3 linked regions of the Arabidopsis thaliana genome follow. The protein of the gene in region 3 interacts with the protein of the main gene of each other region in a pairwise test. Each region holds a gene or a part of one and is shown on either strand. Other genes may lie near its edges. The genes, in order: ZF3, LSH3 and ARR7.

Evidence for each region.
Region 1: the proteins of ARR7 (region 3) and ZF3 interact in a two-hybrid assay, tested with the Arabidopsis thaliana proteins (one large-scale study listed by BioGRID).
Region 2: the proteins of ARR7 (region 3) and LSH3 interact in a two-hybrid assay, tested with the Arabidopsis thaliana proteins (one large-scale study listed by BioGRID).

What each region holds. Positions count from the first base shown.
Region 1 is NC_003076.8:17,330,375-17,333,685, forward strand, and holds ZF3 (zinc-finger protein 3), read right to left. Parts: upstream 1,273-3,311; 5' UTR 1,258-1,272; coding exon 676-1,257; 3' UTR 571-675; downstream 1-570. Other genes in the region: QWRF9 (QWRF motif protein (DUF566)), read left to right, coding at 1-38, 133-240, 318-362. UniProt on the Arabidopsis thaliana protein: Transcriptional repressor probably involved in abiotic stress responses. Binds DNA in a sequence-specific manner and can repress the transactivation activity of other transcription factors.
Region 2 is NC_003071.7:13,275,607-13,279,366, reverse strand, and holds the start of LSH3 (LIGHT-DEPENDENT SHORT HYPOCOTYLS-like protein (DUF640)), read right to left. Parts: upstream 1,658-3,760; 5' UTR 1,465-1,657; coding exon 805-1,464; 3' UTR 1-804.
Region 3 is NC_003070.9:6,577,604-6,581,363, forward strand, and holds ARR7 (response regulator 7), read right to left. Parts: upstream 1,712-3,760; 5' UTR 1,476-1,711; coding exon 1,328-1,475; intron 1,198-1,327; coding exon 1,121-1,197; intron 902-1,120; coding exon 824-901; intron 731-823; coding exon 660-730; intron 563-659; coding exon 316-562; 3' UTR 230-315; downstream 1-229. UniProt on the Arabidopsis thaliana protein: Functions as a response regulator involved in His-to-Asp phosphorelay signal transduction system. Phosphorylation of the Asp residue in the receiver domain activates the ability of the protein to promote the transcription of target genes.

The sequences.
Region 1 (3,311 bases), on a different chromosome or scaffold from region 3:
AAGCAATGGCATCTTCCATATGCTTGTTGCTGCCAAAGGTGACTCTTCTTTTCTCTCGGATAATGTTTATGGCACAATCTTCTATTGCGTTTTATTCATATTGTATCTTCAAAGTGAAAGCCAATATCCCAGGTTGGGAAAATAAGTAGCTTGGCAGCAGAACTTGGCCGTGTGAATGCCAAGGACGAAGGGATGCTCGACGTGTGCCGGGACCTTCTAAACACAATCTCAGCTCTGCAGGTACAATATCTCAAATTCATTATAGATTTGTCTGCACTATACCTACAGTGTTGGGGATTAATCTCTAAACTATGCAGGTAACAGAATGCAGTTTGAGGACACAGGTTACACAGCTACAATAGTAAGGTGGCAAAGTTAACAAAACAGAGTGTAAGTAAGAAAGCTACTCATTATCGGCAATTTTGGAGTTATGAGAATGTAAGGAGATCATCTAATTCAAATAGAGAGGCCAAATTCACTTGATAGTTTAACAACCAAACAAAAGTCAGTTGTAAATATTTTCGATTCGGTTTTCTAATGAATTTAGTATGCTGTTACTTCAGAAACAAAGGAATTGAATCGTATTGTGTATTGGTAATAGAATCAACAAAACTGTTCCTTGAAATTGAAATTTGATATTTACATTTGATAAACTTCCAGGTCTTCAACAAAGACTTACTTCAGGCGAGGCTTCTTAGTCGCCATCGGACTCATCACTTCGTCGTCCGGCGAAAATCCCTGCACCGGTATAATATTAAGGTCAAATCCACGGTGGCTACTACTGCTGACGTGGCTAGTAGACCCCACACCTTCCGAGTTCGAAACGCCACCATCGTAGTGGCACCGCTTGTGGCCGCCGAGAGCTTGACCGGTGGCGAAAGATTTCCCGCAAACCGAACAAACGTGAGATTTCACGGCGGTGGATGGTGTCGATTTATCATTCTCTCCACCACCGTATAAGCTCCGGTGGCTCGCTTTATGACCGCCGAGAGCTTGGTAAGACGAAAACGTCTTGTAACAAACGCCACACTTATAACTCGGCTTCTCCGCAACCGTCACAGAGTCAAGATCGCCGCCATCCCGAGCAAGAAGCATGAGACAGAAAGCTAGATACTCTTCCTCAGTGAGACGGTGGTTATGATGAAGATCAGATCTCGAACGTTTGGATCGTTTCTTACATTTGGTCCACTGCTCAACGCCATTGAATCTTAAGGGATCCTCGACCAATCTTGGTGAATTAAGAGCTTCAAGCGCCATTGCTATAGAAAATTTAAAACCTAATTTGAGAGCAGAGAGATATATAGAAGAAGGTGAAGTATGGAGAAGAATCTTGAGAAGAGAGGAAGTTGCGTGAGAAAGAAGAGTGAGAGTGGGTGGCCAAATTGGCCATTCTAATTATTTTAAGTATTTAGTTGAAACGAAATATGTGCTGAGCAAGTTGTTTGTTGTAAGTTGTAACGAAAGTGAATGTATAATTAAAATATTATTTCAACATTTGGTGAGAGTGGAATATATTAATTTTGGCACGTTTTGTGGGGGAGAGAAATGTTACACAAGTCGGGCTATATACTCTTCTTCTGACTAGTTGAGAGTTGACATTTGAATCCAACTACACACAATAATGATTGATTCTTTAAAACTAATAAAAACCTTGTCTCTAAACTTAGGCCGTATTTTACAATTAATATTCATCTAGCTTTTCATTTATGTTTTAACACTTTGCTTATATATGTAGTTATTTATTTAAGTGTAGGTTTGTTGTACCTTTGGGAATTTCTGAACAAACCCAATAGCATTCATTACTTGGTCCAAACATTTGAAAACGGAGGCAATGTGTGTAGATTAAGATTATAATGAGGAAACCTTGAATATAAAAGATGATTGGATGTTTCGGTAGAGAACTCATGACAACAAGAAACAAAGAGCTTATAACTTAATTCCCACAGCCCATTGCAACCAAGAATCATGAAATTTTCTTTATTGGTTTTAATTCAAATGCGTGAATGTCTAGAGTTGAAGTTACACTAAATTGGATTCAACAACTTGTGTCATGATACGGTATAAGAGTTTTGGTTTAATGGTCTTCTCTTTAGTATAAGGTTTTGGGACTTTTCTTTTAAAGTTAGGATTATGGGTGCTTTTTTCACGTTTAGGTTAGAATCTAAGTTGTATCATTTTTACTAGCTATTTACGTTATAATATAGATTGTATAATTACTTATATAATTAGGTCTTTATGCTAACTAAAAAATAATTTCCAACAATTAATTAACCTAATTCTCTAAGAGTAACCTATCTCTCTCTCTTTTCTCACATTACGAGATCTAAAAGACACATCATGTTAGATGCCTAAAAACGAAAAGCCTAATGAAGTGTAATGATTCTTAGGCTTGCTGCAACTAACGAGTTTAAGACAAGCTACCGAAGCAGATATACCAGCAAAGTTTGGTGGCCTGAGCAACGATGACCTTCGTAAACTCTTGAAAAACATATGGGTCATGCATGTGCTTTCACGAATATAATGTGTGCATATATCTCTAAACCTTTAGTTTTTCCTTTCACAAGCGGAAGGGGGACCTTTTGGGTTATGTTGCAATGGGAGAATCGTCGGTAACAGATTATGCATGGTTGAATCATCAATAGCTTAACAACATCTAGTATAAACTTGTGTGTAATCTTTAGAAAGAAAAAACTTTATAATTAATCTAGTAACGGGATGTTGAAAAAATAGATCTAACAACCAATGAATAGCTAATCGGTGAGATTAATGCATTGTACCTTAACTCAAACTTAGAGACAAGAATACATTTCCGAGCTGTGTTTCTTTGTTTTTATTATGGACAATGACTTTTGACTTATTAAATTTTATCTGTCTCTGTAAGGGTGATCTTAAGACAAGCAAACGAGTGTGAATCTGATCTTGTCGGAATCTCAAATTATTCCGTGCCGTCCTTTGGTCTTCTACTATTACTTTGTTCATTATCTTTTAACAATATGTATTATAGGAATTTGAATCAAGCTAATTAGACAACGACCACATTAGCATGCAGATACATATTCTAGTCACGAGTAAATTGTTGTTTAGACTAAAAAGTAGCTCGTCTATATTGTTTATCATCATCTTTAATTACGTATTCAATTCTTATTGGGTTAATTAGATTCGATTTGTAGTTAGAATATTTTTTTAAAAAATTAGTTAGTAAAAATGTTGGGTTGTGAATTCACTTTTTTTGGACTCGCTATGTGATCCGACACTCGGACATTAACGATAATATCTACATGTCTACAGTTTAATTAGTTTAAGCGAATCGT
Region 2 (3,760 bases), on a different chromosome or scaffold from region 3:
CAACATCAATCATGAATCATCAGATCTACAAAATCTAGGGTTTATGCAAAAGCCGAGACACGCACATTGTTCTTCTTGAGTAAAAAAGTAAGTACTAAGAAACATAAAGTGGAGAATTTACGGAACTGTTTTTTTTTCCCTACAATTATGCTGTAAGAGAACATATCACTCACAACTCACAAGTAAACCTATGAAACCTACTTTAACATGAAAAAGAAATGATTTTAGAGATGAAAAAACATACGACAGCATATTTACTGAAGCATGCCACGTATGCATGTGAATATTGGTGAGTGGGAACGAATGCAGTAAATCTTTGGGGAATTTGGACTTTGGAGCATTGAAATTTTTCATGAATTTAAAATAGTTAGTGCAATCACTGTCAACTACTATAAGACCACTGTTAGTTCACTGTCACTTTTAGAAAACGACCACTGTTTTGCATCAAAAGAAGAAAATCAATAATACTATTTTAGCTTCTAGTATCATCATCATACTCCATAAATCGATTTAAAGTAAACCTAAGACCTCTCTGTTTTAGAAAAAAGAAGACCAATATAACTATGATGATGATAGTAATGATACATAGATACTCATATATATAAATATGTACACATTAATACATGTGAATTTCTCTTTTATTAGATATAAATAAAATTGAAAACCCTACCTTCCTCCCCCCAGCATACACTAGTAACTAAAACTGAACCACATAACCTAAAATTAAAATCAACATATAAGAAAGAGACCAAATCACATTTCAGATTACATAAAATACTCCATTTCTCTTAATTATATAATTACTTACTTCTCAAACTTTAATTGAGTAGTAGAACTAGTACCCGGTAGCATTTGAAATTGCTGGTGGCTAGCTACGGCGGAGGAAGAAGAAGTCGACGACGAAGGAAGAGGACGCTTTCGCTTCTTCTTCTCGTAGCTAACACCTCTAGCTTTACTCTGCATATCTCTAACTTCCCTTAGATAAAGCCTAACGGCACGAGCTCCAAAAGGATTCGTCTCAGGCTTGCCTCCGTTTTCCTCAAAGGCAGCTCGAAGACGACCGATAAGAGCGTCAAGACTTCCCCAAGCTTGTCGGAGAGGACACGGACACGGTGCCGGAGGATTAGGATGGCCATAGAAGTGACAAATGTTCGTGTGGACTTTTGTCTTACCGAACTGGTCCAAGTAACGGAGGAACTCGAGCACGTGAGCTCCACTGCATCGGGAAAGCGAAAGCGGTGGCCGATGGTTCCTTAAGTACTGTCCGAACGTGTTCCAGTCTCTCCTCTTCTGGTTCTCGTAACGGCTTGAGTTCGCCGATGGTGAGGAGGAGGAAGACAGTGGTTGCGTTGCTTCACCTCCGGTGGCTCCGGTGACGGAGGAGGAGTTGTTTGAGATGATGTTGAGGTTTGTGACACCTCCGTAAGCTGAAGAGCCTTCCATCAATTGGGGAATCATATCCATTTTTTTTTAACGGATCGATCGATATTGATTAGTTCTTGATTCTTGATCTTTCTTGATGGATATGGAGGAGCTGAAATTTTGTTTGTGCGGTTGGGAGATATAATAAGGTTACTTTGTGCAGATATATATTTTGCGTATTAATTGATTTATTGAGAATATTATTATATAATTAGAGAAAATGATATAAACTTTGTCGTTTCTTTTTTCCCCTTGTTTTGTTTTTATATTACTTGAGATAGGTGGACTATAGTTTTCATACCTTTACTCTTTTGTATCCATTGTTTGTTTTGTCTGCATTTCATATACCGGGTTTGGTGTTTTTAATGTAATATTTCGAAATTAATGTCGGAGGGACTAAATAGCCTTTTCGGGATAATACTAAACGAAAACGTTCGTTACAACTATTAAACTTTTTCTTTCGATTAAACACACAACTATAATACCTATTACAGTGGAAGTAATAGGTATATTATTAAAATTACGTTTAGGTTTTAAAATTTTAGATGTTCTTATAAAAGAATTTTTCTTTTTTATGTGTAGGGTTTACTAACAATTTAATTGAGATATTTAAATTAGTGGTTTCTGGCTCTCAATTCTTTTAAATACATAGTTCGTTTACGTCCACGACTCATATTTGAATTTTCTCAGTTTAGTTGTTATCCTTTCTTCCGCTATAAATTCTGAAACCTTTAAATATCTTGTAAATAGTTCGATTCTAAATACTCAAGCAACTAGAACTGAAGAAGCATATGGGAATAGTATTGTCGTTTTAGTGTGTATATTTATCTAGCATACTCTCATCACTTAATTGGTAGATTAGAGAGAAAATGATTGTAGGTTTTAGAAAAAGTAAATGAACGTATCGTTTAAAAAATATATATATATTTGGCTTCATTATTGATAAAGACTTGTAAGCTTGGATGTCTTCTTACTCTTCATCTCTCGCTATTTTTTCTACGATAAAATAATTTTCTGTCGCTAGAAAAAAGCAGAGAAGGAGTTGGGCATTTAGGTGTGGACAAAGGCACCCAAAAGTTTGAAAAAGATGGGAAAATATTTTAATTATATATTTCTATCTATACTGTAGAACTGATTGACAGTTCATTGATATTTTACAAAAGTAGCCCTCAATTCTTCTCCCTTGGACATATGTGAAAAGGGCTTTTCTTCGGACCATTGTACAAAATACAAAACATCTTCTTTATCTATAATATTTTTATTTTGTCCGACAAAAGAACAAACTACGTATTTAGAGCGTGTCATCTGAAAATGGTAAAAAAATATTGAACCGAGACGAAAGATAGACCATAGGCTGGTCTTCACTTTCAGTAAATTCACCTATTTTTGTTTTAACACTGCGAAGAATAGAGCCCGATTGATCAAGTATTACATTCATCTCAACCCATTGATCAGTAACTTTTAAAAAGAATGGTATTTTTGCGAGATTGAATTTTTGTTCTCAAATCCGAGTTATGTTAAAGAAAATTAGTTTATATTAATTTGGTAGTTTATACATTTAAGTACATAGAAAATATAAATGACATCTCTGCCATTAGGTTAACATTTTCGTGTTGCTCCACAAAATTTCATCACAAAAGGACAAAATATTCTGGCTAGATCATACTAAACTACAAAATCAATCCTCGTTTACATAAACACTCTAAATAGAGTTATGTACGACATCATTTCTAAACTATGATAAAACACTAACTTTCCTCAACTATTTATCATTGAATACGACACATATTGCAATTAGCTAGGTACTAGCAGTAGCTCGAACTTCGTAACATTGCTTTTGTAAATATCAACGAATTTTTAAGTTACCAGTGTACTCTCAACATTTGCCTAACGAAGTTGGGAGTTATAAAACAATTATTCAAATAATTAAGTACCATCACCTATGTATATTCTCATTTCTCAATACGTTGAGAGCGTCAATGTTTTGCGTGCACATGCACAATTTTCATGTGTTGAGACTTGAGAGCGTTAAAAATCTTTAGAGATATCTCTTTATGAACAGGAAAATCCAGCCATTAGCGACAATTATGTCGTTCTGTCCGTTAACTTCTTTCGAAAACTTGATCCGGCGTAATTTTTTGAGTATTCAAATTTACCAATTTGCTCTACAATAATAGTTTTATTTGTGTTTTTGTATAAAACCTATAATTTATAGTTAAGTGTTCTATGAATCTCTTAATTTTTTTTGATAAAAGATCTGCAAATTTCTTTCAATATGCATATGTTTGATCGTATATTTTACATGTAATTTGAGGTACATGCAATTTAATATTTTAGG
Region 3 (3,760 bases):
AGTAGAAGAATTCCAATTGTCTTCGGATCCTGTTTGGGCGGTTTGCAGACTCACTTACCTGAAAAACGATTCCTGCGTGATTGATGATAGACCAATACTTCCGGGAGAAGAGCATCCTAAGCTTGAGTTGCAAGCATTGAAGAATTTACATGAGGTGTAAGTCAGTGTGAACCTAACATTTGATTCTTTTCTCTTTTTTGTTTTGTTTTGTTTAAGCAACATCATGAGTAGTGTGATGACTCTCTCAAACATTGTCTTTCTTGAGGAATATTAACAGAATGGTTTTGCTAAGGTCTTGGCCTCTATACATATAATTCAAAGTAGAGAAAAAAGGTTTTCAGATTCTGATTTCATTCGTTTTGAACATGAAGAGTCCTTGATAGAAGTATCATCATGACTTGATGATGATGTATCACTGTCTTCTTGAAGCTTTCTCTTGTTAGAATGGCTTAAGATTTTGCATTCCTCAGCTTCATTCCTCATTATAAGTTGTTTGATTCGCTTTACATCTGCTAGCTTCACCGGTTTCAACAAGAATTCCTCTGCTCCTTCTTTGAGACATCTAAAAACAAGAAGAAGAAGTCGATAAGTTTAGATCACAGTGTAGACACAAATATGATCCCATCTGTATCACTACACATTACACAATCAGTACTTACTCTTGTATACGAGGTAAGATGTTCTCAGATGACATAATCACTACTGGTACTTCTCTGAATGCTGAAGATTCCTGCACATATCAATGGAGTTTTGTATAAGCAGCATTAAAAAAGCTTTGTTTAAGTCTTTCTCAGATTGGTAAATCCATTATTATTGTTATTACCTTAATCTTTTTAAGGAGATCATATCCTGAAAGTCCTGGCATTGAGTAATCCGTCACTATCAAATTCACCTTCAAATCCTGTTATGATGAAAATCACAAACAAAATCAAATCTTAATACCAAAACACATAAATCACTAACTAGACTAGTTCATTTCTAAATCTCATTTGATCATAAAGACAAGAAGAAGCAATAGCCAAAGCCAAAGTTGCAAAGGTTTCACTCCTTCGGTCTTTCCTAAATATACAAGAGTTCTTCTCAGTAGATAGCAAAAGAGGGAAGATTTATTCTTAATTACCTTAAGATTAGAAGCCCCTTTGCCTCCATCTAAGCCAAGATACTGCAAAGCCCTAGTTCCACTCTCTACAGTCGTCACTGAAATAACAAAAAAAAAAAGACACTTGTAACTAAAAAACAGAGGAGAGTTTGTTAATGAAGAAGAAAAACAGAGGAGAGTTAAAACCAACAAAAACAGAGCAGAAAAAGATTGGTTTTGAGTTTTTACCTTTACAAGAAGAGATTCTAAGCAACCTCTCGATGACTTTACGATCCACAATACTATCATCGACGGCAAGAACATGCAACTCCGGAGTAGTAACAGTCAAATCTCCACCGGCGGGAATCTCCATCCTCATGACCTCACCAACCGCCATTGTCAAACTCAGAATAAAAAAGAGAGCAGATTGGTTCCAAGAAGAGGAAAGCTTTGGATTGAAGACAAAGGAAATGAATGTGATAAAATGAAAGAAGAAGAAGTTAGGTTAGGTGACATAAATAAGAAGGGAGAGGTGGTGGGGTTTAATAAGTACTAGTATAGTAGATAGAGAGAGATTTGGAAGATCGGATCTTGCGGGGTAAGATCTTTGAAGAGGAAACAAAATCTTAAAAATGGGTCAAGTGTTGATGTTATGTGTTTGGGAAGTGTCAGAAAACACAAATAATCAAATGTGTCTTCAAAGGTCAAAATCTTTGGGCACCGAATCTTTTTTAAGATTTCAAAGATCTTTGTTTGGTCTGTTTCTTTCAATCCGACAGCGACTACTCCCTCGTGACCTGGAACTTTCCTTCTGCTTTTAGTAATTTTATTTTAGTTTTACCTCTCTCTCTCTTCTTTTTTCTTTTTCTTTGCCAAGTCGGCTACTACTTTGCATTTTACTTACATATCAATCAATGATCTAAAACCGGTGGTTATTGCTCAATTAATCTACTTCTATATTCATTTTAACTTCAACATTGTATTTTGTATTTTCCTATACACGTGATTCGTTTATACTCTACTAAATTTTATTTATGTGTAATGGTATGATGGTGATACTAATACAATTTAATCCTCTTGTTGTCTTTTTTTTTTTCTTTTTTAATTTGGGTAAGAAGTATTTTACAAGGTTATCTTAATTTAATTTTCTTTACGTCAGTAAGGGTTATTATTTTATTTAAAGACAAAAGGGACATTTTTTATTTTTTATTGTCATCGTTTTCAGTTGAGTTTCCTTTATTAAATTGATTGAATTTTGTATGCAATAAAGGCACTCTGTTTAGTGGACCATTGTGTGTGATTTGTGAGTCTCTTTTGCTTTTGGACAAAATCTTGAGAGAAAAATATGGACAAAGTATTGCGGGTGGATCCTTTTGTCTCAATCATAACATCTTCTAAACGAATTGCAAGAGGACTAAGGCAATAGTACATGTTATTTGGTTTCAAATCAATTAAAAAACGTATATTATACGATCCCTAAATAAGTGTCAAACATGAAATTCCTAAATTAAATTGGAGAAATAATACCAGGACAACAGCCATATCATATAAGGATCTCTTTGCAGATTTAAAAGGTTTTTTTTTTTATTTTGCAACAAAAGGGAATAGTTTTGTCATCATTTCATTTAAGTTGTTTAGTGATTTTTTTTAGTTGACCATCATTGTGTGATTTTGTGAGTCCTTTTTGGACAAAATCTGGAGAGAGTAAAATCTTCAAAAGTTGTGGAGGAGGATCCTTTATAGTTTGTAACATCTTTTAGCCGATTGTGAGAGGACATTGACAAAAACATTTTGTAAAGAAAACTGGTTTCTTAGCATTAATTTAGAATCTAGCAAACTTTTTGTAACGATTTGATAGATATCTACAAATATCAATGTTGAGATCTACAAGAATCTAGCAAAAACATGATGGTCTTCACACCTAACACTTACGAAAAACATTATTTTGAAAAAAAAAAAAAGAGTCAGTCATTTGAAGAGAAAATTATTACAATGTTGATCCACATGTCTAAACATTTGATGATCGTGCCAAACAAAACATTGGTGATAAGAACATTACTGAAAGGAAAAGGAAAAAACCATCAATATGTTTCACATTTTCTTATTTTCATTGCAATTTATATATGGAACAAACTTGCTTTCAAATGTTTTTTTCCACCTAGATTTTAATGTCTTATGTTTCAAGTTATCAAGATCTTTGCATACATTTTGAATAATAAAATAAACAAATCAAGAGACAGTCATCCATTTGCTCCGTACCTAAGATTTATGAAAAGAAAATCCTAAATCCAATTTAAAAAAACGAACCACAACCACCAAAGTCTTTCATGTATTCAGTTATTTTTTAGAAGTCAATAATTTGATTTTAAACATAAACGAACAGTTCCTGAATAATAGAAACGGACTATTGATGATATAGTCACGATAGCTACAAGAGGAGAAAAAACACTATAGTCATAACAACGCTAAAATATATATAAAAGTGTTCTCCGTTTGTTGGTTTCGTAATAAATAATGCTTCATCATATAGTCACGTACTGATTTGTTTACAAAGTTTGCTTACAATCTCAAGATACGATGACCAAAATACCAAAGATATTACTAGTTATTTTTCAAGACTAATATTATTATCGTATATAAATATACTGTTTTTCTCATAACAACATTATTTTCAGCTCATTG